Linked DNA regions of Pelodiscus sinensis. The protein of the gene in region 3 interacts with the protein of the main gene of each other region in a pairwise test. Links are inferred from orthologs where the notes say so. Each region holds a gene or a part of one and is shown on either strand. Other genes may lie near its edges.

Region 1 (10,711 bases), on a different chromosome or scaffold from region 3:
CATGCCTCTTTTGCACCCTATTCTTGGTTGCCGTAGCTCATTGCATCTTTACTAATATTTAGGCCGAGACTGTGTAAATTACGCAACACGAGCAGATCTTTGTGCCCACACAGAACCCCATTGATCTGCATGAGGTTCTGCATAGGTAGAGTTTGTTCATATGCGAAAACTTGCATTCTGTCCCTCAGATTGTAAACTACGGCAGGGGATGTCTTTTTTTTTTTTTAGTCTAGAAAATTCTTAATGCTGTCCTGGGGGCTGCACCAATAGGTCATGAGTTTTAAAGGCATTCTGCGGTTCTAGTGGAGTTAAGGAGAGTGATTGGAACTCGGAGAAATTGGGATTGGCACTTTATTTCTGACCCTGCTGACTGTACGGCAGTGAACAAGTTGCATAACTGCTCTGCATCTCTAAAATGGGCATGGCCCACTTTTGTAAAGCATCTTGAGATCAGATAATGAGAGAGATGTAAGTTCAAAATAGCATTATTTTGTGTCCCCTCTTCTAGCTTGATGCCTGTATTAAATATCACAATAGCTTTTACTTCACAATTTTCCATATGTACCAATGGGGCAAGAAACCTCTTAGGATGTGGCCACTTGTGTGGAGTTAAGGTAAAAACTTAATCCTGTCTGTAGGGCTGTGCCTGGGTTTAAGGTTTGCTCATGTTCCTCTGCAGCGAGTAGCTTATATACTGGCTTGTGCTATGAAAGCAGGAGGCAGGAAATGGTTTTCAGTTTAACCGTGTTACGGACACTATTGAAATCTCTTTTTTTAGAAGCACAAAAATCCCTCAGTGCCTACCTCGCTAAAAAGCAGGGTGCAGGAGCTCTAATCACTAATGGGTGTATCTGATTGGTGTGAGAGGTTACAAACTGGCTGTTCAAGTTTTTGTTTCCAGAAATATTAGAGAAACCTGTCTTGCAAAAGGGGAAGTGCTTCTATTGGCCTTTTTTAAAAGGCAACTTCCTTCTGACATTTTTACACTATGTTTAAAGAAAGACATCTACAGCTGTGATATTTTGGCACTCCTCCAATATCCTGATGACCCCAGCCTGGGGTACAAAACATGGATTTTTTCCCTGCTGACCTAGGGCCAAATCTTGAAAGAAGTTGTGCCCTAAACTCCAGTTACTCAAATGGGAAGCCAAGTATAATTGAGCCTCTGAACTCCAATTCACATACCAAATCAAACATTTCCCTGACAAAGAATTACTCAATATCTTGGATCAAAAGCCTGACCTATGTTACACTTGTGCCATCCCAGGGAAATCACTAAGCAGCACAAGGATTAATGTCAGGGTAATCTTTAAAAATGTAGCTAAAAATAGATCCTAAATTACAGCCTACCTTTGGGTCCTAGGGAGGTGGTGTGGGGCTGCCTTGAACAGAGAATCTTTTCTAATTGCAGGAGTCTGCATTTAGTAAGTAGAGCTGCATAGGAAACAGCTTTCTCATCCTGTGAAAATCTTTGAAAATTTTTGAAAAACTTTCACATTCTGAATTGGGACAAAGTTGAAATCTCATATTTTATTAACCAAAACTCTGGAAAGTGTTTGGTTTGGATCTATCAAAAGATTTCATTTTGATCTTGTAAACTTTTCTAAATTTAGTAAAATCTCAAAACTAAGGCAGTTTCAACTCTAAGCTAAAAAACTTCTTTTTGCAAAATGGGAGGGTTTGATTACAAACTTTTTTCCAGTAATTTTTGAATTGGGAGATTTATCAAAACTGTCCATTTTTGGCATGATGGGGACTGTTGGAAAAATGTCTAACCAGTTCTATTAATAAAGATTTTTCCATTTTAGAAATAAAAGTAAATAAACCCCCAAAATGAACTTAGATCACTAACTCAAAATGTGCTTTAACTAAATCCTCTTTATCACCTTTAATACACTTCAGCTTTTAGTGTCAGCTTTATTGGTGCACAACACCTAAACTCTGAGAATACAATAAAATACAATCACCTTACTTTTTTTCTCCCTTTCTCTGTATTCCTTCCTTTCTGCAAAAAACAGGAAGGTAGAATTGTGGACACACTCCATACCCAGTTACTCTCCTGGTTATTAAATACCCTGACCTTCCCAATGTGACACTCTTTGGCAGGCCTCCGACCTAGCAAATGCAGTGGAAATCAAGTTAACTGTACTCCAAAACTATTTAACTTTGCTCACCTCCACTAAGCTACTAGGTTAAATATTGTTCTTTCACGACAGATATTTTACATGTAACTACAGGAGGTAGTGTTCACAGCATATATGAGGAGTCTAGTTTAAAACCGCAGAATTAAAGATTCGTAAAGCTGAACGTTTTCTAGCCAAGTTACAAAGATCTCCAAATAGCAAAAGTAATTCTAAACCTGATCCAACTTTTTTGAACAGTATCCATCAGACACCCTTTACCATTCTACCCATTTTTGTTTAATTGGTCAGATTTCTTTGCTTTATTTTTCATAGATTCACCAGAAGGAGCCACATTTATAAAGATAAGGCATAGTTGACAAATTCCAAATAGGCTAGGGAACTTTCCTGTTCGCAAACAAATTAATATTGAAGATATGCCATTAGTGGAATTGGATTCCAATTAGGCAAAAAGAGCAACACTCTCTATGCCTGGATGAACTAGATGAGGAATTGTTTGCGGAGGGGACTTGTTCTGATACTGTTAAGCAGTGAACCTATGTCTTGTTTTCATGCCTCCATCTAATCCATGCAAAAATAGTTACTGTGGTTCCATGTAAAATGTATTTCTGATATGACTGTTTTTATTCAATAAAACAAATCACAAACTTGATTTGAACATTTTGAATGCACCTAACTTTGAGTATGACCAGGTGACAGGCTTTGATAAAACATTTAGTCCTTGTATTCAGATATTAATATATCATTCTCATTTTATTTCTCCTTGTGGTAATTTAAGTGTAAATTGCCATTGTTGACAATGGTCTATAATCTGGTACACAGTGTTTTTGCATTATATAGCCAAGAGTGAGTTCAAATCCTACTTCAGCTTTATTAGTATAAAAAATGTTGACCAATGTAGTGTAAGATTCTTACAGCTTAAGCAAAAAAGGCATTTAAACACTTTACATGTAGAAAAAACTTCAGTCATACAACATTATTGATCAACAGACTAAATTCCATCGGGGATGATGATTGATTTTTTTTTGGAGGGGGACTGTACAAGGTTTAAATGAGGACAGAATTTTGCCTTTTCTCCCTCTTTCCCCAGTTCAGAGTTCCTGGACAGCTGGAAGATGACTTTGCCCTGATTCTTAATAACTAGCTCTTATTATGTAGTATAAAGTTGGCAGTTTTTTCAACAACTTTCGGAATTCTAATATAGCCTCTGCCACTAACTCATTGCATGGCATCAGGCAAATAACTGGTCCCTTTTCTCAGTTACAAATGGGACTTTAAGGATCAGCTTGTAACCTCTGCATGTCTCTTAATTTACATTTTTTTCAATCGGCAGATTTTCAGGTGTTCACACCCCACCTCAATTCTATGTAGGTTCCTGCACCACCCTCACTTCTATGATATCCAAGCTTCTTCTCAAAGTGCATTACTCTTTCATATGAGCTCTGCTCTCTTTGACATCTAAATGAAATGTTCAGGCTTGTAAAGGGATGTGCTGACCATTGTTGGAAATGGCTTCCATATCTTTACTATTTCTGATCTCCCTCCCTATCTCACTCACCAAAAAACAATATAGTATTAGTCAAAGTAACATTATCTTCCATTAAAATCATCCACACAAATACTTGTGCTGTTAAATAAAAACAGAACCAAAACTGCCTGATCATTATCCGCCACTATCAATGATCACTTCCACACGAGGCCAAGAAATTACTGAAAGTTTGTGGTTTTAATAGTCTAAAATAAAGGCTAGTGCCAAGTAAACCACTAAACATAATATATAAAAGGGAAGATTGCACCGATGATCCAAGAGTGAAGTATCTACTAAACCTTCAAAATAACTGACAGACTGCAGAAGAGAAGAGTGAGGAGGGATGTGATAGCAGCCTTCAACTACCTGAAAGGGTGTTACAAAGAAACTGGAGACAGGCTATTCTCAGTGGTGGCAGATGACAGAACAAAAAGCAGTGGTCTCAAATTGCAGTGGGAGAGGTCTAGGATAGATATCAGGAAAAACTATTTCACTGGAGGGTGGTGAAGTGCTAGAATGGGTTATGACAGTGTAATCTCCCGGTTAAGGGGTTTTTAAGGCTAGGCTCGGAAAAAAAAACATGTCTGGGATGATTTGGTAGGTCCTGCTTTGAGCAGGGGGTTGGACTAGATGACCTCGAGGTCTCTTCCAACCCTTAACTTCTATGATTTTATGATATGACTCTAAATTAGAAGAATGTTATTTGTCAGTGAACTTGCTGCTGTCATTTGTTTCAATGGTGTCTATGAATTCCCCACCCCTTTCCTGCTCCACACCCTAACACAATGGTACAGAGCTGCTTGTTTTTAGTGTTAGCATCAGAGTTTAACAGTAAGTATCAATGTTTGAACAAACCAAAGTCTTGCTTACATTAGCTGTAATGTGAGTGAGGTAAACAATAAAGATCCGGGTATTCATGATAAATGTTATTTTTCCTGAAGCATAATTCAAAATGAAAATATCTCATATTTGAGGACTGGGAGGAGTGTCACAGCAGAAGTAAATAGTATTTGGCATGGCTCTAGTGCTTTTTAAAAAAAAGTCAAAGGACTTAAAATCCCTACATGTAATAAGTACGGCAGTGTCTTGCACTAGGGATGGAAGGACATGAGAAGTAACAGTACAAGCAAAGATAACAATCCTTCAACAAACAAAAAACAGGACTATGTAGCACTTTAAAGACTAACAAGATGGTTTATTAGGTGATGAGCTTTCGTGGGTCTGACCCACGAAAGCTCATCACCTAATAAACCATCTTGTTAGTCTTTAAAGTGCTACATAGTCTGATGTAGCTGAAACAAGAAACAGGACTAACACAGCTACATTTCTATAACTAATCTTCAACAAATAGCTTCCCACTCTTCCTGCATCTGTGATCTGGACTTAATAGAAGGTGACTATCTCCCTCCAGTACATAGGCCTACCTGGCAGTAGGGTCAGGTGCCATATTCCACCTGTGTGTCTTGCTGTCCAATCTTAGATCTACACGTGGCTGATGGGATAGTTTGGTGGGAGAAGACAAGTATCTGTCCCCAACATCTTTCACCCTGAAATTCCAAACCCTTTAGTGACTAGCAGCAGCGCTTGCACTGTCCATGCTCACAGAGCTGTCTCCCTTTCGCAGTTAGGGTGTGTGTAGACTACAGGGTTTTGTCAAGAAATGTGGACTTCTGTCGACAAAACTATACCTGTCGCTACACTACCGCCCAGTCCCGTCGACATAACTCGGCAGGAAACCCCATTCTACGAGGAATAACGCCTGTTGCGCAGGGAGGTCTGGCGACAGAAGGCGTTCGAGCAGCTACACTGTCCTGTGCATCCACACTGTGCGGGCGGCAAAGAGCTTGCTCTGTCGCAGCGGGGGGGAGGGGGGGTAGTCTAGACGCTCCCAGAGCCTGTCCTCCAGACGTACCCTAAGTAAAGCGGGCCCTGAGCCCAGCCTCTCCCCCAAACATGCCCCGGGAAGGGGGCAGCGGGGCCCTAGCCGGGGGGGCGATTCCCAGACCCGTTCTCAGCAGGGAGCTGCCTGTATGACGCCCCGCCCCACTGCCAGGCAAAGGCTGAGTCCCGCGGGCCGGGGCACGGCAGGAAGGGGCCTGCGGGCTCCCGAGCCAGGCCCTGCCGCGCCAGGGGCTCGTGTTGCTCCAGCCGGCCCGGGGCGAGGCGCCCGCAGCGAGAGCTTTCTCCTCAGCCCCGTTCCTGGGCAGGCGCGAGGCGCCTTCCGTTCCCTCGGTCTGCCCCGCCCCCAAACGGCGCTGCGTCACTTGGCCCCGCCCCCCGAGCGCGCAGGCCGGGGGAGGGGGGCGGGGCGAGGGGGCGAGCGCGAGCGTCATAGCGTAGGTAGGCGTCGACGCGCGTGCGCTCCCGCTGTGTGTCCGGGCAGGGGGACAGCGGGCAGTCGTCCTGTTGTGCGCCTGCGCGGAGCGCGGGGTGGTTATATAGGGAGCGGCGGCCTGAGGCGCTCGCGGAGGGACTCAGGAGCAGCCGGACAAGCGGCCGAGGCGAGTGGGGCCCCGGGCTGGGGGGAGAGCGCTCCGGCCGCGGCTCGCCCGGGCAGGGCAGGGCAGGGGGGCGGGTTCCCCGACTGCCGGCTCCGGTCCGCAGCGCTCGGGCCCCCCGCCCGGGGACCCGCCCCGCTGAAACCGGGGAGGGGTCTCGCTGCCCCCCCCCCCCGACATTGGGAAACCCCGTTTGCCCCTCGGCGTTGCCGGGCACCCTCCCCCTCCCCCCCCCCCCCGCGCGGGGCCGGCCCCGGGTGCGAGCACCAAGTAAATGGGGGGGGGGGGGGGAATGCTTGAGCCCGCCCATCGCAGTAACCTCCCGGTCAGTCCGTTCCCTGCAGCTGCCCCTTTAAACGCTCCCCCTCCCGCCCCTTCCTGTGGGCAGCCTGGAGCGCAGCCCCCTCATCGCCCACCCTGGTTCTGATCGCTCCCTGGGTCTCTGCTTCATTCATCGCACCGCGGGGCTGCCACTGCGCGGCTTTCCCCCCGCGGGGGCTTGATTGTTGTGTGTGTTATGCAACCTGGCAGTCTTGTAGGTAAGACATTATCTAACGCTGTTGCCGTTTCTGCATCTTGCTACAGGATCCAAACACCCGAAAATGGAAACTGTTGTTCGCCGCTGCCCGTTCCTGTCACGGGTATCCCAGGCTTTTCTGCAGAAGGCTGGCAAGTCGCTGCTCTTTTACGCTCAGAGCTGCCCTAAAATGATGGAGGTTGGGACTAAGCCTGCTTCCCGTGCCCTGGGTACTTCAGTTGCTCACTGCCAACAGGCCGAAGAAACAACTCCACCTAATGACAGTCAGTGTCAATTTTGTCTTTCAGGTGCTTAAAATTATGGTAAAATAAAGCTTCCTCACCATAAGGCTTTTTAGATTGTTTAATACTAGCTCCCAACATTTTCCTTTCATTTATAGGGCTAGGAGAGGTTAGAACCTCTAAATTGCCCCTGATTTTGCTCTCTCAATGAGTGGCGTGAAAACCCAAAAAAGTTTACCAGTAAATATCTCGCTGTTGTTCTTACTCTGTATTGCTTATATACTCATTCAAATGCCTCAGGGTGTGTTGGGATTTTTTGTTTGTTTTTAAAGACTGGTCTGTCTGGTTTGTTAAGCTTTTCTTTGAAAGAAAACTACTTAATCCTGTACGATTCAGTGTTGCACTTGGAATAGGGTTATGAGTTTGGAATTCTGACTTTTGGATTTTGTAATTCATCCAAATCTTGTATGTCTTCTAATGCAATAGAAGTGTAAATGAAAACAGCTACGGTATGTAATGCACACTGAACAACCGAAAGGGAAATTGTGGGAGGTGGAACCTAGCTGTTTGAAAAACACACCACCTTCCAAAAACTAGGAATGCAGAGTATGCTATAACATTGCTATCTTACTGCGAAGCAACGGTGAAAAGGTATGCAATAAGATAAAAATGAATTGGGTCCCTGGGGCATTTGCTAAGCATACATTAAATTATTACAGGGCAACATTAAATGGATATAATCAGCTCTTGATAGCTAATTTGCATCCTAGGTACATTATTATATAATATTCCATCCTTTTAACGTGCATTTAATGATGATAGGGTTACTTGTTCTGTAACATTTGCAGGGTGCCATTTTTATTCAGTAGTTTTTCACAATAACAACCTTTGACTTATGTAATAAAAGCTTCCTGCTTAAGTAGAAGAGGAAGAACTTTAAGCACCCTGGGAACTGCCCAGCCAGAAGGAAACGTCTGGCAATTGTAACTGCCTGAACCAGTTTACTTCTAAGTGTTGTGTTCAATCTTCTCTTAACACGTGTTGCTTATCAATTTAACAAATACTTGCAAAGAAATCAATTGGATTATCTTAAAACTATTGTTCATACTCTGCAAACTAGAGCAGTGTCTGAGAGCAAAGGTCTGCTGACCATAACTATGTAATTGGTACAAATCCAGGTCAGTGGAGTTATCAGCTTATGATTTATGGCTGTTATTGACCCTGGATGAGAATTTATAATAAATAATAGAGAAGGGGCAGCTGGAAAAAGTTTGAAGTTGAAATTAAACTCCTACACAAAGCATACTGGTTCCACATAGGGGGAAGAGGCAATAATGCTGAACACTTCAAGAAAACTTGAGTTTAAATGCTAATCAGATATTGACACTTCATATTTTGTGATTACACAAGTATAGATGGTTCAGTTGCACAATTCTGAATAGCTTGTGGTTTAGCGTCAGTTGTCAGAGTTTTTGTTTTTAGGCAATCCAGTCACCTCAGTTCTTGGTTTTTAACCATTATTTTGTTTCTCCTATCTAAGAGGCCAAAAATTCCAAAGATGTGTCCCCTGAGAAAACCAATGGATCCCAGCTCCCTACTGGCCATCCGCCTGCTGTTACTAGCCAGAACACTAACCAGAGCTCTGCCACTAAATGCCCTTTCCTGGCAGCTCAGATGAACCCTAGGAATAGTAATGTTTTCTGCAAAGCCAGCCTAGAACTCCAAGAGGATGTGCATGAAATGCAGGCTGTAAGGAAAGGTATGTTTTTACGTATGCTGCAATAAACAATGAAATATAGCCTCTTGTAATACCTGGAGATAAAACCTAAGTCTGACAATAGTTATCTTATAGGCCAGAGGGAAGGCCATAGGACACTGCAACAAAAAGTCTTCATTGTAGAATATAAGAATTTTAATGTGCACATGTAGTGCTGTTTGTAATACTCAGAGGGTGCGTCCAGACTGGCAAGATTTTGCGCAAAAGCAGGCAAAAACTTGCCAGCTGTCTACACTGGCCACTTGAATTTGCGCAAGAGCACTGACTTTGTAATGTACAAAATCAGTGCTTCTTGCGCAAATGCTTTCACACTCCCGCTCGGGGGAAAAAGCCTTCTTGCAAAAGAATAATTGCGCAAGAGGGCCAGTGTAGACAGGAAAGAACTGTTTTGCACAAAAAAGCCCCAATGGCTAAAATGGCGATCGGGGCTTTCTTGCGCAAAATCACGTCTAGACTGGCCACGGATGCTTTTGCACAAAATCTAGACGCGCTTTTGCAGAAATACTTTTAACAGAAAAACTTTTCCGTTAAAAGTATTTCCGCAAAATCATGCCAGTCTAGACGCAGCCAGTTTGTGTAATCTTTCTTTATACCAACTGTTTGTCTACATGTTTTTTGTAGCTGCTTTTAGTGAGACTATGTTCTAGTTGCAAAACCTGTCAAGCTATAGCATTCTTTGTCAGTTAGCTTGAAAGAATAGCTCTTGCTATTGTTTATAAAAATTCAATGTTGTTACCAGAAAGTCTTACCAGTATATAGAACACATTAGCATTTTCAAAGAATTAAGCAGCTAGACTGGAAAGCATAAAACAGGACACTAGAGACAAGTAGCAATTGAATAGAATCAGCCTCCCTTCCACCCTGGACCATTTTTTCTTAATACTTTGGTAGTGCCTAATGGCCCTGATCAGAGATTGGGCTCACATAGCACATGTACAAATAACTGTCCATACCATAAACAGAATGTTATTTTCAGATTAACTGAGTTTTGTCAAAACTCAGTGTTAAAGTCTTTTCTTTCACCAATACCTATAAAGTCTCGCTGCTTCCTCTGGAAGAAATCAGTTTGTTCCTTACCCATTCACTCCAGCTTTTCCAGTCTGCTGCAAGCCGTAGTAACAATGATCCAAAGCTTGGAACAGCAGGGAAACATTTTTACTTAGAACCAAGTATGTGTTTTAGTTGTATTAGCCTACCTACCAAATTCTTAGGTCAACTGAATTGGTCCCAGGCACTTTTTAATTGGACCTCAAATGTTTGTTAGACAAGTTCTGATTTCACAAGATCTGAAGAGAGTATACAGTGCATTCTCTTCAGCTTGAGTCTTTGTGCTCTGCTCTTGTCTCAACTATGATTGTTTTATTAAAAAATGTAAGATAGTGAATTCATAACTTTTCTTGGCATACAATCTTTTTATATAAGATGTTGTGAAACTAACTTAACTCACTGGATTTCTTTGTAACATCTCAAATGTACAGAGTTCACTAAAACGCCAGTGAATCCCACCATGATAAACATCAAGACTTCTGGAGAAGAGCAGAATGGCTTGCTGAAAAAGTTCCAGGATATTATGTTAAAGCAGAAGCCAGAAAGAGTGTCTCATCTGCTTCAGGATAACTTGCCAAAATGTAAGAATCCTTCTCATTTGGCTAGCAAAATATATTTGAATCTATTATGTCTGCTAAATCCATTTTTGCAGTACCAGCAGCAGACAGATGTTTTGATATTCAAAACTGTTAGTTCTTATGTTTAATAGCCTCTCTCCTCTTCTAGCTGTTTCTACTTTCCAATATGACCAGTTCTTTGAGAAAAAAATTGATGAGAAAAAAAAGGATCATACATACCGTGTATTCAAAACTGTGAATCGAAGGGCACAGATCTTTCCCATGGCAGATGACTACTCTGATTCCCTTATCAGCAAAAAAGAAGTGTCTGTATGGTGCAGCAATGATTACCTAGGGATGAGTCGCCATCCGCGGGTGTGTGGAGCTGTTATGTAAGTAGTTCT
Region 2 (10,229 bases), on a different chromosome or scaffold from region 3:
AAAAAGTTGGCATCTCTGCAGATGATCAAGACAGGAGCAAATTAAGAAGCTGAGGACTGGAATACCAGAAGACCAGGGACAGGAACTGCACTTCAAGCAACTCGCCAACAACATGGCCATTTTATGTTCTTCATGACAATCTAGTCAGCTGATATGGTGTCCTGCTGGCCACTGAATCCAGCATAGGGACTGATGGGAGCAGGCACATGAAGTGACTCTTTTAATGAAACCAGTCCCAGAGCAAACATGGATCAGGACCAACAATAAATTCTCTGTCCCCCTTGAAGAGCTGTTTGACACACACACAGAGCCCAAGGAACAGTCAGCTGCCAAGTCTACAGAGAATTCAGAGGAGACAGAAGCCACACCAGAGCCCAGGTAAGTGTATAACTCAAATGTTATTATTACAGTACTAAGTGGGATTCCTGCTGTAAGTAGTAAAGCAAACATGGTAAGCCATGACTACCAGCATTTGACCACTAACAACAGATTGTATCACAGCACCTAGGCATTGCTCTCCCCTTTCCTTCCTTCCCACCACCTGGAGCTCAAATTAGTGATTTGGAATTTCAAACAAACAGCTATAAAGGTTATTATAATTGTCAAGTCACAGAGATTTGTTATGATCAATCTTGTTTTCCTTTCATTATTTAAAGACTTGCCACTCTGCAATCACACCTCTGGGGTCCATGCAGTTGCCTATAATCAGTGAAGTGAGTGTGTGTTTGGGAAATAGAATTCTATTTCCAAATTTATTTTCAAGTCTATTTCACTTAGAAATAATCCATGCAGGCTGCATGTCACAGCGTTTCTCCAAAGTACAAGTGTGGTGGCAGTATTCTGTGGTGGGTTTATTTTGAGATGGAGTAAAGCTGCAGATTTTGATGTGTTTACATCAAGCAATAACAGGATAAACCATGTTAATTCCCTCATGAAGTCTGACCAAATCCTGGCTGCTGGTAGCTATGAACTTTTCCTGAAGCAGCAACTCCAGATACCCTTCTGTCTGCAGTGTGGCTATTTTTCAGACCATCCATATAAACTGACTAGCCTACTCCACTCATAAACATGCTGTTCAGTTACTATTCATTTGAATACTTCAGCTGCATACACTGCAGGTTTCCCTCCAGCAGCTTAAAATAAGATCTACCACTGCCAGCAGGATACCACAAGAACATAAAGGCCTGAAATGAAAAAAGGCACTTTTGGCAGAAAGGGCACTACACACACAGACACACACCAAATGGCAATTAGTTATGAAACTTTTATAAAACAGAATGGAGGCTAAAATTACCACTGTCTCTGCCCTTTTATAACTGCAATTAACATCAGTGTGTCCAGAGACAATGTGAGGTCTGGGGCATCCCTTCTCAATATGTGTTGGTTCATTTTAGAACAGTTACATTTTAGGCCCTGGAAACTTAAAATTTAGAGGCAGCAAAGGGGGAAGAAGTGACTAGACAAGTAGTGACTTGACTACCTGATAAGCATATGCTTATTGGGGGTAGTCAACTACTCAACTAGTCGCTTACATCCCTAACTTTCATTGCCAAGATACAATCAGCCCCCACAGTAATAATGGGCAGGGCTGATTAAGCAGTTGTGGGGAGATTACAGGCAACTTTGGTTACACCGGGGTAGCACTCAGCTCTCCAGGAGCCAGTGCACAGAGAGCCAGTTTTTAAGCCACCTCCCCGCATGTACCAGTTCCCATATCCCAGCACAGGGCAGCAGGCAGCTTCCTGGGAGCCGGTGCATGCTGGGAGCTGGCTTTTAAGCCCTGCGCGTACTAGCAGCCTGTATATAACCATGAACGTTAACTGATAAACTCGTGCTTATTGGTTAAACTTGTATACAGTTAAGCTTCCACATCCCTAGTTAACATACAGCAGCCCAAGATTTAAGAAACCTCTACACTGTGAATACTCATCTATTTTAAGTAATGTGACTGATTTCCAATATGTTTCTCCTCTCAGATTTACACTGCTTTGTAGATTTTAGATCTGATACCACTGACTTCAACAGGTCATTCTTCCCTTTCATCTTTGGTTTTGTGGTTCATTACAACATTTCTGCTGTTAAGACAAAGTTCATGATTAAGAAACAGATATTTTAATTAAAGATTTTATCTTTTCTTGTTTTTTTTTTAATGGAAAACAGGGTTAACATATGAACAGAAGTATGATCCAGAATTTAGTTATTACTGAAACTGACAGTTTTAAATTTCAGAATTTTGAATATTATTATAGTATGCAATTTGAAATAAAAATCCAAAAATATAAATGCCAAAATTGCTTCTTTGACAGACATAAGCATTAAGGCAACTATAAAAGTAGTTAACAAAACTTTTAAAATTATTAAAAACAGAATTATAAATAAAATGAATACAAGCTGCAAGAGTACTAATTACATTATTCTACTTCAATGAAAAATAGGTCCTTTTATTGAAAAGGACAATCCTAACAATTCTACAGGAAATGTTTCCCTTTTTAAATATATTGTAACAAGATTTAAGAGTGCTGGGTATTACAATGTCAGCTGCAAGGTGTGTGCACATTATTTATTAAAAGCGAAAGGCAATGGTAAATTATTTAGTCTACTTTGCTCACAAGGTAACATTAACCTAGTGCAATGGAAGCGTAACCTTGCTAAATGAAACAATAATAATGAAAGGAATGATGTTGCCACGCTCACAATACCTACAGTATGTGTAATGTAATAAAATGCAACATAATATTAAAAGGATATTCATGCTTAATCAGGCTTCAGATTTTTCCCCCCTCATATTCCCAAACTCCCACTTTGTTAAAGAGTATGGATACAGTTGAGCAGATGACATCAATACAAGTTTCTAAATAAACAAAGTTTACTTCTACTTCTAAAAAGAGGCCGATTATCAATTTCATAATTACTTCAAATTGTAGAGCTGGTTTGGCATTTAAGCTACCATACATACTTAAGACTGTGTAGAGACTAGAGTATGCATGGGACTAGAGTAAACAAATCAAATACAAAGCAAAGGTAAGTGAACAAATATGTCAACTGTGAACTAAAGATGACAATGCTTTGAAACGGAGTAAAATATTATTGTAGTTATGTATTTTATGGCTACAGAATTGTTCAGGATTTTGCCCCTTAGGGTGATTGTTTTCCAATTAACATCTGTTTATATTTCTTTTGAAACTAGTACGGTATCATAAAAAATGTTTATAATGGTTTCCTGTAATATCTGATCACAAGTGGTCAGCTCCACGATCATCATAACCAAAATCTGTGTCTTTTTCTTGATCCAGCTCAACTGCATTATGAAATTGAGGTTAACTGAAATCCTCACTACTTAACAAACTTAACAGTGCTAAGAAGTGATCTGGCATTAACCTCTATATCAGGTTTAGCTATTCTTCTGTAAATAAAAATACTTTATAAACAACTCAACAACCTTTATTACAACATGCAATGAAAATGTCAAGAAAGCTGAAATGCACTTTTTAAATATCTCAAGATAGTCACTTCAGGCCAGAGGATGCTTCAAACCAGAATTTCAAGGACGTTTTAGTATCAAATTGAATAGCTACAAGCCTCGTTTTCTCTCAACATGGTCAAGCCTTTTCCCTCCCACTTTTTAACAGCAGCACCTCTCTTTTCATATTTACTTCAATTCCAGATACAGATGAGGAACCTAATGCTTCAGAACAACTACAATATGCACATCTCATCAGCCTTTAAAACAACAACAATTAAGCCTCTAATTTCACTCATTTTCCCCACTGTCTTGATTTTGTTGTTCTGCTGAAATGTTAAACAATATGCAGGAATTTAAAAGAACACCATCAACTTAAAGATATCTGGCTGTTTGGTTTCATGCTAAATGTAGCATGATTAGAGAAAACCATTATTTTCAGGTTATTTACTCTGTGCATCTGACAGCTCTTTCTGTAGTGAGTTTGAGTTTTTCTTTCTTGTTTGATCTTTTATTCAACAGATGCGTAAAAGTTTCACGTACATCCCCTGAAACTAATTTGGATTTCCACTTGACAATCTCTCTTTACTCATCAACTAACATCTCAGCAAAGGTACAGATGACACCAAAAAGGAATCTAAAGAGGTAAAGAATATACAGCTGTAGAGAATAGTTACCCCACCTCACCCCAAATACATACATACACACACACACACACACACAAAACCATTTCATTGCAAGACTTGACCTATAGGCTATGTATCATGCCATCAGTATTTAAACAGCATTCCTCACAGATTTTCAGCAAAAAAAATTCTGCTGAATAAGTGATAGCACAATAGAGGCAAACATGAAACATTCCAACTGAGGGTGGAGAAAAGGTATTTGTATAAACTGTAATTTTCTGCCCAGAAGCAATCTTCATGGGCAGAAAGAGGCTTCTGTTGTCGCTGTTGTCACGTGAGTGCTGAGTCTGCAAGTGGTTGCATAGGAAGAAAGGAAAGGCTCTGTTTGGGTCACAAGGAAGGGATAAAGTGGGAGCATAAGCAGGGTCAAAGCCTCCCTTCTGAGACCAAGAGTCACGTAAACTGCTGGGGGAGAAGTTACATGGGTGCTAAAGAGAGCAAGACACGGCACTCACTACAAACCCTGCGGGGCCCGGCTGCAGAGGCTGAGTTGGGGTGTAAGGGGGAGCTGTACAGGTACAGGACGTTGGTGGTGCCCAGGGTGCTGAGGGGGGCCGAGGAGCTGTGTGCGAAGGCCAGGATAGAGGGGGCTGGCTGCGGGTGCCTGGGGCGGGCGCCGGGGGACTCTGTGCCAGAAGCTCCGTAGCAGGAGTCTAGACTCTCACGAGCGTGGGGAGGACACTGCGGGGGGGGGGGCGGGGCTCCACAGGCGCGCTGTGGGCGGGAGAGGCCAGGGCTCTGCAGAGGGGCTGGCGAAGGGAGCTCGCTGCCTGAGGGGCACGGGGCTGGGTGCCCGTGAGCGGGGCTTGCCGGTGCGCCTAGCTGGCGGGTGCTGGGGACGCAGAGGGGGGTGGAGTTGCGGGAGCGGGGGGCCGGTCCCCTCTCCACTCCCGCCCAGGGACCAGCCGCCCCCGCCTCTTACCTGCCGAGCCCCGCCAGGCCGTCCACAGGCGTCCGCGCCGCAGCTTCCCCACAGGCTGGCGCGGGGCGGGGCTCCGCCGAGTCCGCGTGGGGGGCGCATGCGCACAACACTCCCGTCCTCCCATCCCCCCCGCGCGCACGCCCCCGCCGGGTTGGGCAGTGACTGGCCAGGTGGGCGCCCCTCCCCCTGCGCCTCCAGGCGTTCTGGCCCTGCCTGGCCACTGGGAGCCCCGAGGGGTGGGGGCTGTGCCGGGCACGGCCAGGGCTCGAGGCAGCTGAACCGGGTCGGGAACCGAGGGTGGAGCCTCTCCGCTGATTTTTAACCCTGCGTTATGCTTCTCCCCCGGGCTCTTCTAGTGCTCCGGCGGGAAGGTGTCCACACGCTGCAAGGTGTTCAGCTTCATTCGGCTGCCGTTTTGACCTTGCCCCCTCCAGGTCCACACGTTTTCAAAGGTGCTGCCCATTGGGGGGCGCGCACACACAGAGGGACCTACACCATCTTCCTCTTAAAATCTAGCTCGGGAGAGAGCTCTGTGAGTGATTTTCCCGCTAAGTCGAGCACACGGGGCCAATTCTGCAGCGAGCCACATGTTGGCAACTGGGTCTTAACCTGTCACTTACCAAAACTGCAGAGGAGGCTCCACTTGATCCCTAGGATCTGCCTGATCTCGGAAGCAGAAAGCATCTATCCGCTGAGGGCTTTGGGCTGATGGGGGCGGAACCTCCTGGAGAATGGGACTAGTGGGAGAGGGCATGGGATCTGGGAGGTCTGTGCTGCTGGGGGGCTGCGGTAGCATAGGTTGCTTCAGGAGAGTAAAGTTGATGGGAGGGCAGAGGCTCTGGAAAGGTAGGATGGGGCTGTGGCTGGGGTTTTATAAGAGTTGGGCTGTTGGATGGGTTCACCCGCACACTCTGGCAATCCTTTTGGCACCAGTGCATGGCATCCACACTGAAGCAGCCAAATTTTCGTAAAATCAGCTATATCCCAAAGTCCCTAGCACCTTCCTGAAATGTATCTCCTCTAGCCCTTTGACTGTGTAGTGCACTGTGGGAGATCTTAACTGTTCACCTTGCACATGATAGGGAGTTTGAACAGCCTCCTTTCAGGAAACAGACTTGGAGGCAGCAGAGAAGAGGAAACAGGCAGAGCTTCAATGAGATGCGCTGGTGGGCATTTTGGAGGAATTTCCTGACCCGTTGAAGGTACCTGACAAAGCTTACAATCGAGCAGGAAGAGAAGAACACCCTGACATGGCAGACTCCTACTTGCTAATGCTACTTGGACATTCGGTATAACCACTGATGCCCTCTCAATAGACCAGGGATGGGCAATAATTTTAGACCAGGGGCCACTTCAGAAATTTTTGAAGTGGACCCGGGCCACCCAAGAAGGGGTGGGGCCAGGACACTTTCGTGCTTCCCCACCCACACGTAATTGGTTGCAGGGGGGGTACAAGTCTTTGCCCCTCCCAGAGAGAACCACCCGCTGTTCTAAACAACTGGTGGTTCCCTGTAGGTGCCCAGGCCCCTGGCAGTGGGAGGAGACTTAGCATTCTTCTCTGCTGCCCCCAAGTCAATCACAGCCTGGGGAGGGGGAGCATGTGAAGGCTCTCGTTTCCTGTCCCTGCCCTGCAAAGGAGCATGGCATTTGGAGTCAACCGCCAGCTGAGCAGTTGACTTTAACTGCTGAGCCCCTTGCAGGGCCAGAGGAGACTTCATATGCAACCCCTGCCCCCAAGCCCTGATTGGCCTGGGAGCAGAGGGAGCGCACGAAGTCTCCTCCCATCCTTTCCCTGTTCTGCGAGGAGTATTCAGTGCTTAGAAGTGCTGTGCCCCTTGCAGGGTGGGAGGAGGCTTCGTGCACGTCCCCACCCCCAGGCCAATCAGGGCTTGGGGGCAGGAGGAAGCGAGCAGTCTCTTCCTGCCCTGCCAGGACCATGAAGTGCTTCTAAGCACTGTGCACTCCTTGCAAGGCGGGGGCAGGGTAGGAGGAGACTTTGCGTGCTTCCCACTGCCCCCAAGTCTTGATTGGCTTGGGGGTGGGAGTAGTGATCAACTTGCTTGGCAGGCCAGATTCTGCCTGCAGAGGCCCTTTTGCCCACCCCTAACATAGACTGATACAGGTCCAAAAGCACAGACTGGTGGGATCACATTGTCAAATGGAGTTGCGATGACCAGAAGTGTGTCCAGAATTTTCTTATGAAGAAAGCCATATTTCTAGAGCTTTATGGATAGATTGCCTTCACTCTGCAGTGTAAAGACACCTGCAGCAGGTCACCCTTGCTGATCCAGAAGTGTCTTGCTATAGCTGTTAAGTAACTGGCTATCTCTGACTGCTGCAGACCTGTTGCTAACTAGTTTGGGGTTGGGAAATCAACCCTGGGGAAAAGAGGGGTAGAGGTTTCTGAGTCAATCAGATATCTGGTTTCCCCCAGGCGAGGAGTATAAATTTTATTCCTGCAATACTTATTGGTTTGAGGTTTCCACACTGTGTTGGGGCTATTGATGTGACTCATGTGCCCATAATTTGTCCTCTTCAAGGAGCAAAAGTACATATACCACAAAGGTTTCTGTTCCATTGTTAGGCAGACATTCATGGATGACAGTGGTTGATTCCTGAACATTAAAATAGGCTGCACTAGGGAAAATGATGTCATGGTTTTTTGCTGCTCAGAAGTGAAAAGTTATTCTGGAAGACGCCAACATACCAACCTTTGCCATGGCTTATGAAACTATACTCTCATCTAAGAGGCCCTGGTAAAAGTTTAATTAACAGTCTCAGCCATTGGTTGTCACCTATGGACTACTTCTGTCTGAAATGGACTAGATTTTTAAATGAAACACATTTTTACTTCATTCCCACCCCACACATGGTTCACTATTTCCAGGCAGCTCGATGACAATTTAGTGGTTACAGAGCAAAATATTTACAGGCATTGCAATGCAAGGTTATTACATTTAAGAAACTGGAATGGCCCTAGCTAAATCTGTACCTTTCCAACAAAAATACACTTTCAAAGTGTTCTTTTACTGTTTATATTTCCCAGTCACCTTTTTTAATTTCATGTGGGGTGAGGGAGGAAGAAGGAGATGCCAATATGGTGGCATACAAACTGCCATTAGTTGGTACATGCTGCTAGCTGGGATTTCTCAGAAATTTTTCATTGGTTCACAGAGCAGAAGAATCCCTCCAACTACTGAATGAATAAACATTTAAATGGAGCCAGAAACTTGCTGGGCTTGGGCAGCTTTTGTCCCTTTTGTGTCTGCTGCAAACTGTTCCTCTGGGGTGAAAGGAGGCATTAAATAGCACTGCTAATGGGCCCAAAATGTGCTGCTGTGTCTACTTGTCCTGTTCCAAAACTTACTCCAGGACAAGTTTCAGCAACTGAGTGACTTCATTGTTGTCTTCTTTCAGTGCTGGCTCCCATCAGTCCCCATGCTGGATTCTGGAATCAGCAGGGCCCCATCCCAGCAGACCAGGTGGTTCTGCACAACTCTTGGCTCCAGACTGGGAGTAGTGCACACACAAACTCCTCATAAAACTGGCATAATGTTGGTGAGTTGCCCAGTGTGTGACTCTAGTCCCTGGATTTTTCTATACTAGTTCTTGAGATGCTTAATTCTCTCCCTGTGCTGGTCACCAATCCAGTAAGGTTGAAACAGTGCCAGCTTTTTCACAGTCTGTTTGTATGTGTAGTCATTGCTGATGTTCTTAATTTGACTGGCCTCTTTTAACAAAATCTGGCTTTGTTCCCACAACCATAAAGCAATGCATTTTGTAAGAAGCTGCTTCTGTTCAGTCTCTATTGCATACACTAATGCCTCTCTGATGGTGAATTTGCAATGTGGTGGTCAGAATTCAATGGAAGGTTTCGAGCTTACTCACCATACCGTTGTTGTATGCCGAGGGCAGGTCGCTTCTGTTTTCACTAGAGTCAAATGGAAATAGTTGGGATGCAGAAGACAAAGAAAGTTGGTCCACAGGATTGTGGGATACCTTTGGTGGACTCTTAAAACCTGATCAGAGTGGGTCAGGCTGTGTCTTTACAGCAAAGCAATAGGGTGTGATCTCTGGATCATAGCTTGTTTGGGATTTGGACCATCCAGTCCTGCAGAATCCTAGGACCCTAAATCTGAGCCCCAGTCTGATATATTTGTGGGTATATCTACACAGCAAATTAAGCCCAGCCTAACACCCTTTCTGCCTACACACAAATCATGCTAACCCAGTACTAGGAGCCAAGGGTGGAGATTCAGAGCAGGAGGGTTCATGCCCTATTGCATTGTAGTGTAGATCCTACTGGATTGCTGCTCTGGCAGACTGCCAAATGTATCCCACAATCTCCTGGGCTGACTTTCTATGTCATCTGGTCAGTCAAGCTTTCCCACCCTAGACTTTTATTTGTGGTGCACAGTGACCTCATTTTGAGAGGACACTAGGAAGTCTGGAATATGGGTGGTTGGTGGTAGGCCCTCATAATGCAGTGTGGATGCTGGAGCATCCAGTTGAAACCCAAGGCTCAACAATTCCTAACCTGGGGTTACGATTACTATAGATGCTCAAGCTATAGGTTAACAAATGGCATGGTCTGCTAACTTAAATACTATTAATCTTGGGCTCGCAGTGTAGACATACCCCATGAAGAGGGGCTTGGGTTCTAGCTTGTGTTCAGCGTGCATTTAAATTGCAATCTCAATATATCCTTACTGACTGAAGAGTTAAAGCTCCCTGGAGAGCCAGTGCCAAAGGCGAACTGCCAGCCCATACACACATTGTGAGCCAAGGCCTCCCCTGTGAGGCTACACATATTGTTGCAGAGCCCACAATCAGGGAACATACCAGTTCAAAGTATATTGTTAAACAGGTTCCTGTCAAGGATGTTAGCTGCACTATCATTTTCCCAGCAGCCATGACTTTGCTTATGTCTATTTACAATTAAATGTGTCTTTTTCAATGAACGTTCATCTTTCTAAATGTGTCTGAGACTCAGCCTATAAAAATCATCTATCACATAAGATCTGTTTTTAAATAGATGTTTAAAGCAGTTAATTTTAATTAGATAATGCATCAAGAAATGTATTTTTAGTAGTGTCACTTTGAACCACATGCATTTCATACTCTGCAGTATGTAACTATCTGATAGTTTCTGAAGTGTGTA
Region 3 (10,505 bases):
GGCGCTTTTTTCCAGCAAAGCTCCGAGCCGGAAAAAAGCGGCAGCCATGTTTATGCAAATGAAGCGGGGGGGGATTTAAATCCCCGCTTCATTTGCAATTACCATGTGTCTAATTTGCATCCCTTTTCCGTAAAAGGGAAGCAGTCTAGACACAGCCACAATGTGCATTTATATATATGCATATAGAAAGTCCAGAAGACAAGAAAAGTAAGTGTAGAAAACCTGGCCTAAGAGGAAAGGCTAAGACAAGTGGACATGTTTAGTCTTTCAAAAAGAAGAGTGGGGAGAAGTAACGGGTTTTCTCTTCAGCAAGGGAGATTCAGGTTAGCTGTATGAAAAACCTTCCTAACTCTAAGGCCAGTTGAGCTGTGAACTAGGCTTCCAAGGGAGGTTGTGGAATCTCCATTGCTGGAGGTTTTCAGAACAGACTGGACAAACACCTATCAGGAACGGTCTTGGCATAATTGGTCCTGCTTGAGCTCAGGCAGATGGACTAGAGGACACCTCAAGGTCTGTCTTACATGTCCGTGATTCCAAGGGATGCTTAGATTTTAGCAACACATGGCAAACAGGCCTGACAAGACCATCTAGGGGTATTAAAGAGGTTGGAGTTTGCACCAAAAGTAGATCAACTTGCTGGCTACAGATGCAGGCTACCAATGCATCACACGCTATTCACTGTTTCCTGGGAGTCGGAACAGTGAGCATTTGCAGCCCCATTGCAATAACACGCATGGCAGACCCAGCTGGGGTGCATGTCCATCTCAGCCTCATTCCTTCCTCTGCAACTAAGGCCTCACCATGGCATCCCCAACCAGTTGTCTCTTGTTTGGGCTCAAGGTGACCCCAGAGCTTCTGCAAAGAGGCAGCTCCATTCCCGGGGGGAGACAGCCCAAGGTGGTGAAAAGAGAGGGCTAAGATGGCTTCAGGATACTCTGTCTTGCTAACTCCAGGCCTGGCTCAGGGCCTGTCTGGTCCCCATTACGCATTAGAGCAATCCCTCAGGGTTCCTCTAGGCTGGTGTCACACTGTATGTACACCCTGTCCTGAGGCAGCACAGCCCAATGGCTAGGGTCAGTAGCCCCAGTAGGGGCCTGGGGACCACCCTGCTCCACTGGGCCCCAACCCACAACCCTGTCAGTGGCAGAGCGATCCATCACTCACACAGCAGAGAATCGCACCACACATGCTGAGCTTGCTCAGGTGGGAGATACCGTTCACACACCCTCCCTGGGTCACTTCCTACCGGATACAGCGTTGCAGTGCTCCACGTAGCCTCGGGGTCCTCCGGTTCCACAGCACCAGCCTCTTCCTGAGGCTCCTCCGGCAGCTCAGTGCGTTCATCCAGGTCTCTAGCTGGGGTGTCACTAGAACTCCTGCAGCAGGTTCTTCTCCTGCAGCATCCAGCCCAGACAGAGCTGAGCTGCTCCCTTTTATACTGCTCCAGCACTTAGAGCATGCTCAGTATGGCTGAGGGGGTGGGACTTCCTCCCTCCACAGGGCATTAAGTCCTCCTGGGCCAATTCAGGGTATTGGCCCTCTGGCCCAGACTACCCAGAGTGCACCGGTCAGCTCCCTCCCCCCGCCATGTCCCTATGCTAGGGACTGCATGGTGTAGAGCTGTGAGGACATCGCTGTGCTGGCTCAAGAGGCCCCCTGTGCTGAGGGCATTTCACCAGGCGTAAAAAGGGTTTTACAGCAGGATCGGAATCTATCCCTTGACATGTTTATCCAGTGGCAGGTGCCCCGGCTGTGCCCGTCATCCCCGTGCTAACATCCCATTGCAGCCCTCGTCCATTTTCCCTTACCCCCTTGTGGAATGGCTAGAACACGGTCCCTTGGACCACTTCAGTGTCTCTGCCTCCTCTTGATCTCACTGCCCTTTGACCGCAGCTGGAGAAGTCCCAACGGCCTTGGAAACCTCGCACCACGCTGGTGGCAGAGAGCTCACGAGCAGCAGGTGGAGGGACAAACTGTGCCCTCTGTGCGGGGGTCGGAAAGGCAGCAAGCGGAGGCCATAGATAGAGATTTAAGAGGGCGGGGATGATGGGTTGAAGCAGGATCCCTCAGAGGACTGGGTATAACACCCCCCATTTAGAATAAAAATCCATGCTGGTGGCCTTGAAGGTAAATCTGCAGCCACAGCCAGCACGGAGCCAGCGTTGTCCCTGCTGAAATGAGGCTGTAAGAGCTCAGTTCCTAAGACCCGCGTGCTTCATTTGTCAGTGGTGAGAGCCAGCAATGGAAATAAGCGAAGTGAACACAGATGGCCAGCGTGGGGCAGGCATTGCCGTGTATGTTCGTACAGCCCCTAGCACAGCAGGGCCTCGTCTTCGCTGAGGTAAATCCTACAGCTCCTGCAATGACGGCTGCAGAGCTTCACTGACTCACGCCAGCGCAGGGATGCCCCTCGGTGCCCAGAGGGATTCACGTGGACGATCCGGACTGAGAAACCGACACCTCCGGGTTGCCCAGCTCCAAGGAGGGGAGCGAATGGCCAGGCTGGAAAGCGGAACCTCAGCACCCGGGGGATTGTGGAGCCGGTGCCGGAGGGATGGGTTTGCAAAGGGGCTATGAGGTTTTCCTGAGCGTCCAGGACTGAACGTTCGGAGCAGATTCTGATCTCATTGACACCACTGCAGAGCCAGCTCCTTTCTCGGCATCCCTTGTGGCTTGGGTCTAGTTTCCTCCTGTCCCCTCCCCTCCCCTCCCCGGAATCATTTCTTTCCTTTCCACCCCCATCCCTAGAGTGGCAGCACCTCCTGCTATTTGTCCTGCTCCCCTCAGGTGGGCGAGCAACGTCACCTCCCGCTAGCACCTCAAATCCCCCCTTTCACTGCAAAATGCTGGCTAATGAAATGCTCTCTCCCCAGCTAGCCACAGCTGCAAGCTGCACTGTGTCACTGACAGCCCGGGGGGGATGGGAGAGGGACAGCGCAGGCTGGGGTGCTGGGAAGGACCTGGATCAGGAACCCCGAGCAGCAGCTCTGGGGGCAGTAAACCAGCGTGTGGCACGCTCATTTCGCTGCTCGGTATTGCAGCTGCTGCTGTTTATTTACTGAGCACAGGCCCGCTGAGAGGGGGACAAAGGGGACAATTGCCCAAGGGCCCAGTGATTCCAAGGGGCCTAGCACTGTTCTTATTGCCACAGCCCTAGACCCTTTAAATCACTGCCGGAGTGCTGCACCACACGCTCCGGGCGGCTCAGAGGTCTGCAGGAGGGAGGGGACGCCTATGGTCCAGGTGGCACTGAGGGCTAGTTGCTCCAGCCCCTCCCCTTCTGCCCAAGGCCCCGCCCCTTCTGAGAGCACAGAGCTGGCCCCTGTGTGGGGGCCATGGAGGCTGTGGGCTCCCCGACTGAGCAGTAGGGGTCAATGCTGTGTCTTACGGGGGAAAGATGGGAAGGCAGATCCTTGGCTGGTGTAAATTGTCCTAGGCCCCAAGGCGCAGCATTTACTCTGCTCTAATGAGAAACACAGCATTACTAACGCATTGGCAAGGGACCTGCCTTCCCCCTCTCCCACGGACTGCCTGGCAGGCCACGGACAAGGGACTTAGGCCCAGCTCCTCCCAGGTTCGTCGGTCCCTAACTTCCACTGAAAGCAGCCAAAGACTTGGAGGCTTGGGCCAATTTTTGCTCAGTGATTCAGCTGAGATTTTCACAGCAGACTTCAGGGTTTGGACACATCTCCTTCACCTGCCCTTTTCCTGGTCATGCCTCCTGCAGATCCTGGGCCCCTGGAGGCCGCTCTGGGGTCCGGAGAAGAAGGGGAAATGGTGCAATGGAGTTAGTTGATGCTCTCTTGCATGTGTGCAGAGAGACAGGCGGGCCAGTGATAGGGCACTAGCCAAGGACTTGGGAGGAAGGGGTTGAGTCCTTGCTCCGCCACAGACTTGCTGTGTCCTTGGGCAAGTCACCTAGTCTCCATGTGCCTCAGCTGCAAAGCTGGACTATGCAGCTAATAGTGCTGGGAGGAGGGATACATGAAAGACCAGGAAGCGCAATGGTGTAATAGACGGCTCAGAGACTCCCCTCAGTGCACAGCTCCACACCTTGCACATGGAAAGGGCAGCCATGGGACAGCCTTAGGCTGCATTTTTCCAGCACTGGGCACCGCAGGGACTGCGTGCCAAGGTTACGCACGTTCCATCAGCCACTGGATTAGGGATCAGCTGTGGGTTTCAGGCTCACAGCCAAGCTGGGTTTAAATCATTAATTAACAGAAGTGTTAAAAGAGACCATTGCTACAGCATAGAGTCACCTGTCAGCACATCCAGGAAGAACCCCAGGGCTCTCTTAACAGGATGAGAATTAAATTCAAATCAACAGGCAGCCCTTTGGAGCTCATGTTTCCCTGCAGAGAAATGAGCTGATAGCTAAACAACCCAGCCTCCTTTTGCCTGGCAAAGTCATTCATTATCCCCTTTCTCCCTGCGCTGACATACTCCAGCAACAGACAGAGGCGGGGAGAATGCCTGGGCTGCCTTCCGCAGCTCTCTGCTGTAGATGATTGGCAAGGCTGGGGAAAAGGAGCGGACTCTTTCTGCTCTTAGAAGACTCCCCTGGAAAGTTTGATGAGGAATTTGACACTAGGGCTGGGGCCGGGACCGTGAGCTTCTACAATGAACGAGAATTGGGCCCTTTACGTACACGTCTACATGGCAAAACCCCCAGAAAAACAAAGCCACTGTGGCAAGTCTCAAGCTATGGTGCTAAAAATAGCCATGTAGATGTTCCAGCTCAAACTGGAACCCACCCTTGAATGCCTACACGGCTGGTTCTGGTGCTGTCTTGTAAGCCCCACAAGCCCGAGTCTGTAGAACCGAGCTCTGAGCTCACTGCCGTGAGGTTTTGGGGGTGTCATTATACTTTATGATCCCTCGCAGTTGCCCCCATCCACAACCAGGCCATGAGGAACAGACCGGGTAAGGACAGATTCTCAGCCACTCTGCTCCTGGTGGGTGTCCAACTTGCCCCCACATTGGCCTGATCTTCAGAGGAACTAAGCGCCCGCAACTCCAGCTGGACTCAGTGTGCCGTGCCTGCTGTGCCTCTCCGAAGCTGCCTCTGCCCGTGTCTCACGCCCAAGCACAGAGGCAGCTGAAGACCCCTCGCCTCTTTGGAAAAATGTCTCCATTGCCGATTTGCCCTGTTACACTCTGCCTCAAAGGAGCGATAGCACCCAAAGCAAGCCCTGTGCCTTGCTCTAACCACTCACCTGCTCTGCCTTCAAGCAAACCGCCCTGACCGGTTTGAACACTTGCATCCTACACAGCGCCCAAGGAACAGACCTAATTCTGAGCTCCTGCTCACTGGGGCATGCCGGATGAACAGCCCTGATTTCAGAGGTGTTACAGCGTACAGGATCAGTCGGCCGAATCCTGCACTGACCTGCCCTCAGGACATAACTAGCGCTGGATTCGGCCCTGGTGAGGGCTACACAATTCTGTAGCCATGTGTTTAGTCTCACATGGCCACAAAGCCCAAACAAAAGAGTTGCTCCTAATTGCTCAATTATATACATGCCACATTGTGTGGAAGCACGACCCGGTGATCAGTTTCCCCATTTTTCGGTTGCCCTGTTAGAGCTTAAAAACAACAATGATCCTGTAGTACCTTAGGGCATGTCTACACAGCAGCGTTATTTCGGAATCACTGAGGTGATTCCGAAATAACATAATCTGCGTCTATACAACAGGCAGTTATTTCGACATCACGTGGAAATAATGTCTTACTCCGACTCCTGTAACCCTCATTTTACACGGTGTAAGGAAAGTCAGAGGAAGAGTGCTCTAACTGCTGTGTAGACCTGCCCTTTGAGACTAACAAAAATATATAGATCGTATCATAAGCTTTCATGGGCACATTTTGACATTTCCTTTTCTTTTAAGGCTTTAAAAAACTCCGCATCGGAGTGAAGTGTTTCGTTTTGGGTTGAGTGAAAGATTGCAGTCAACCGGTAACTTGTTAAGAAATGAGAACGGCCACACTGGGTCAGGCGCATCCTGTCTTCCGATGGTGGCCAGTGCCATGTGTCCCAGAGGGAATGAACAGCGATAGGGAATCATCACGTGATCCCACCCCTGTCAGCCCTTCCCAGCTCCCGGCAAACAGAGCTTATTTTCCCAGTTTTGCAGGGTGCCCCAGGAACGGAAAAATAATCAGATACACGACTGTAATGTGCACATTCGGCTGGACAGTCGCTCCCTGCCTCTGGTAACAGGCTGGAATGCTTCCCTCCTGTGAGGGGCTGAAGTAAGCCCCAGCTGTCCCTCGCACAGCGCACACACGCAGAGCCTGATACTGCTCGTGGTCCCTTGGAGTAACCTCTGTGCTGCTCCCAGCGAAAGCAGGCTGGGGAGGTGCGTGTAGCTCCGCCTGTGTCAGTGACATGTGCCGTAGGTAAGCACCACCTTCTCTGGGAGAGCCCTACCCCGCTCAGTGGGAGAACTCACACCCCTGGAGCAGGCACAGAGAGCAGGGCTGGAGGCGGCTGCCGGTTTCCCTGTCCCTTCCTTCCCCAGACGAGCACTGTACCTGCAGGATCTAGCAGCAGCCTCCTTTCGCCAGCTGGCAGCCAGCCCTTTGCATTCAGGCAGCTGCTAGCACCAGGGAAATCACCATGAACTCTCTCTTCAGGAAAAGAAATAAAGGGAAATACAGCCCCACGGTGCAGAAGAAGAGGTGAGTACTCCGGCTTCCTTCCTACGGGGCTCTTGGCATTGCCAGCCTGCAAGACTCAGGCTCTCCCAGAGCTGGGTAACCACACATTCCTAAGTGGCAGAGAAACAAGGAGCAAAGGGATCCTTGGAGAAAGCAGAACAGAGCCACTCTGTTGTCAGGCGTCAGAGTAGAGGCCGGAGACAGGTGCTAGCAGGACATGAGAGGTGCCAAGGACACAGGCACGCAGCAGCGAGCAAGCAGCTTTCCGGAGGCTGCACCGGGCTAGGACAGGCGAACGGGTGCTGCTGTTTCCTTTGGCTTCCTGGCTTTGAAAAATTGTGCAGGTCGGGGTTGTTGGCACATTCCAGAGTGTAATCTCTCCGGGGAGCGGCCGCACGGCTCGGCCTCCCCGTCCCCTTCCTCCGCGCAGCGCTGCTATGCGCCTTATTTACTCCCCCTCCACAGGGCAAACGCCAAGGCAGCAGAACATGTCTCGATGCGTCCTCATTTACACAGCAAGCCCCGCTGATTTGATAAACAAGCATTAATGTATTCCATGCACAGGGGACCAGAGCCAAAGGGAGACGCCCACCGGGGCGCTGGGCCAGCTCTGGCCAGCGGGCGAGGGAAATCAAGAGGCAGGGCCGGTCGAACGCTGCACGGGGCTACCGGGGCAAGTGCTGCAAATGTGAGGTGGTCCCCAGAGGGAAGTTTTGAGGGCCCAATCCTGAGAGGGGCTGAGTGCCTTCAAGCTCCCATTGATTTCAATAGGAGCTGAAGGGATCAGACCCTAAGCCCTTGGCAATGCGCCTGACTAGCAGCATCTATTAGCAATGAACTGTGTCTGTTAGGACGTACTGGGACCCTGTGGTAAACAGGCCTGTGGAGGGGGCATCCAGTCACTATGGGGCAGGTGATTGTCCAATAGGAGTGCTAAGGGCCAGCAAGGGTAGAGAGCCAACCTGTTGCTGCCACCCAGGGATGGGCCCAGCTGGGCTAGTGATGGAGACGGTTTCTTCAGGAGAACAGATGGCACAAAGCCCCAGCCACACCAGCTTGCTGGACTGGATCTGAGGCTCTTTCCTCCGTGAGGTCTTGTTAGCTAATCTTTCCCAGTCTCCTTTGGGGGAGTTTCTCAGCCCACGTGCCGGGATTCCCAGCAGGTCCAGAGTTTATCCCATCCCCTGTGATGATCAGGCCCTCTACCGCAGGGCAAGCCTCTTTCGGAATGTTGATTTTGGGGCAACAGATGAATGACATCTGCCAGGACTTAACCCCACCTCCGCTCTATTACTCCTTCCCCAACTAGGATCCCCCACCCAACATTCCCTGTTGCAGGATGCCTGACACTCTCCACAATCAGCCCCACCTTCTGCTCCCACCTCCAGGACTTTCTCCTCCCTCACTGTCCCCCTCTTTGCTAACAACGCTCACTCTCCTTTCTCCTTACATTCTCTCTCCGACCTCCTGCTCCTCCAGGAGCTCAGGGGAGCCTCTTTTCTCCCCCCACCACCTGCATCCCTGGGCACGCTCAGAGTTTCCACGCATTCGGCAGATGCCATTCTTGGTTACAAACCCCCCGAGTAAACTGAAAGTGAAGTTGGCCCGATTCCTCGGCAAAGCTGAGTGGAAACTCTTTTGCTGTGTTCAGAAAAGTGACTGTTCTTGGAATTGTTAAGGGTTCCCCTGATACCCTCCTTTTATGGAACGCTGGTGAGGTCCAGCAAGCGCGGCGTCTGCATGGGTGGGTTGCTTTTTTAAAGGGTCTGTTCTGGAGAGGCATCTAGGGTGGAGACTTGGAACAGCCCTCTGTGTTTGTGTTATACTCAGCCTCGTTCATTAACTCAAACACACCCACTTCAAGAGGAATGGGAAGGAACCAGCTGGAAAACGCATTCTTGGCTGCATGAGTTACACCTCACCCCCGGAGGTACCTAAAGGCCATGGCTCACCAGGTGCTAAGTTATAATATTAATTAATATAATATAATATAAAAGGAATCAAGACAGAGTCAAGCAAGAAAATGGAGTGCGAGGGGTTAATATTTCCAACAGGCATGGGGGGGGGGGTGTTACACCAGCAAACATGAATTGCAGGTGCAAACAGAGTACTTGCACCTCTCGTGATCCCGATTTGCCTACACATGCGGGTAATCAGAGATGGAAAGAACCACATAGCTGAACTGGGGGTCCCCAAACGTGTGTGGAAATGGCACTGAGAAAGTAAGCCCTTGCTTTGTGCTCAAGTGAAAGGCAGCAGCAGAGATTAGCTGATGCAGCTTTGGAAATGTAAATGAAGCACAACCTCTCTCTGCTGGTTTTATTTTTCTCCTGAATTGATGATGGACCTGTAACCCAGACACACTGGCTGGGTGGGGCACACAGTCCCATTTAGTGGCACTGAGTCCACTCCCAGAGAGAAGACAGAGTCTGCTCCACAACCTTAGTGGAGCGCCAGAATCCACTAAGCTCCAGTGGTCCCGGGTTCCATCCCAGCCGCTGACGATTGGGGTGTGCCGGCATGAAGAGCAGCATAGGCCAAGTGGAGAGGATCTCAAGGAGAGAAGTGGACCTGCCTGAGTGGAAGGGACAGGAGATGGACTTGGAGAAAGTGTGTTGTTCTGGGGATGCCAGGATACTAGAGCTCAGGGTCTGTGAGCTAATCAACAATGGCCGTTAAATTCCTCTGGGGCTTTCGTAGGCTGATTGCTACTTCTAAGGTTGAGGAAGGCAAGGTGACATTTTTCCTTTTCTATTGAAATTAACCCTACACTGGGCAAAGTCTGTGCTGTTAGCTCAGTAGTGGTGCAGCATGCAGCAGTTAAGTTCTCTTGCCAAGTACAGACTATGACAGAGGCTAGATTCTAAGCCTCCATAAAGACTTCAGGCTTGTCCCCCGTTTTATAGATCTCAGATTATAAGCAAGCAAATGTATTCAAGCCCCAGAAGGCTGAAGGGGAACAGGGGCCAATGAAGGTCCAGTGTTCCTCCACGCAAAATGGAGGCCATGCTCAACGGATCCCGCCCACGGGCTGCATGTTGACCCCTTCGTAAACCCAAACCGTACCACGGGCTGCAAACAAGCAGGCCGCAGGTGGCTCACGGGCCACATGTTGAGTAGCCCTGATCCAGATCAGCCCTGACAGGTGTTTGTCCGACCTGCTCTTAGCATTCAGGCCAGAGAACAAGCCAGACTCCACAGCCATCGCAAATGTGAGCCAGGCACGGCCAATGGAGACATTCGGCCCTGCCAACGTGGTCCCTCGAGCGTTCGGCCTAGGCGGGTGGCTGAACAGAGGGCTCAAGCATGCGCCACCTGGGAGCACCCTCTCCTCTGCTGGAGGCCAGTGGGCGGGGAGGGCCTGGCTGAAGGATGCCTGGGTGAGGCTAAACGGCCCGGGCTCGGGGGATGGGACACAGGTTTTAGCACCAGCCTCCCCAGGGGGGTTCCTGCTAACATCCCCTCAGCTTTGATCTCAAAGGGCACAAACGAACCCTCGTCAGCCCCCGGGTCCTGCTGAGCACATTTAGCCATCATGGTTGTGGAGAGAGGCTTGAACTGTGCCCTAGAGACCCAGAACCGGACGAAAAAGACGCTGTTTAAAAAGCTCACGATTTTAACCAACCTCGCAACGGGGAGGGGCAGCACGGACTGGCTCCCTCCACAGACAGGGATGCCTGGTTGGTTGGGTGAGGGTTAAGGCGCGGTCCTAGAGCGGGCCAGGGAAGTTATGCCAGCATCCAGCTCTGCCATGCCCAGTAACCAGGTATGACAAGGGCTCATCAAAACAACGATGGTTAGGCTTGTGGCACCTTGGAGACTAACAAAAATAGATAGACAG

The links.
Region 1: the proteins of PPL (region 3) and ALAS1 interact in binary tests that used the Homo sapiens proteins (3 or more experiments, as listed by UniProt). The two-hybrid records come from large-scale screens. The link is inferred for Pelodiscus sinensis from reciprocal best matches to the Homo sapiens genes PPL and ALAS1.
Region 2: the proteins of PPL (region 3) and RAB3IP interact in binary tests that used the Homo sapiens proteins (3 or more experiments, as listed by UniProt). The two-hybrid records come from large-scale screens. The link is inferred for Pelodiscus sinensis from reciprocal best matches to the Homo sapiens genes PPL and RAB3IP.

The regions. Positions count from the first base shown.
Region 1 is NC_134721.1:42,251,063-42,261,773, forward strand, and holds the start of ALAS1 (5-aminolevulinate synthase, non-specific, mitochondrial), read left to right. Parts: upstream 1-6,012; 5' UTR 6,013-6,170; intron 6,171-6,752; 5' UTR 6,753-6,769; coding exon 6,770-6,992; intron 6,993-8,466; coding exon 8,467-8,685; intron 8,686-10,181; coding exon 10,182-10,331; intron 10,332-10,476; coding exon 10,477-10,699; intron 10,700-10,711.
Region 2 is NC_134711.1:64,100,214-64,110,442, reverse strand, and holds the start of RAB3IP (rab-3A-interacting protein), read right to left. Parts: upstream 5,190-10,229; 5' UTR 5,069-5,189; intron 1-5,068. UniProt on the Homo sapiens protein: Guanine nucleotide exchange factor (GEF) which may activate RAB8A and RAB8B. Promotes the exchange of GDP to GTP, converting inactive GDP-bound Rab proteins into their active GTP-bound form.
Region 3 is NC_134726.1:5,916,282-5,926,786, reverse strand, and holds the start of PPL (periplakin), read left to right. Parts: upstream 1-6,455; 5' UTR 6,456-6,623; coding exon 6,624-6,685; intron 6,686-10,505. UniProt on the Homo sapiens protein: Component of the cornified envelope of keratinocytes. May link the cornified envelope to desmosomes and intermediate filaments. May act as a localization signal in PKB/AKT-mediated signaling.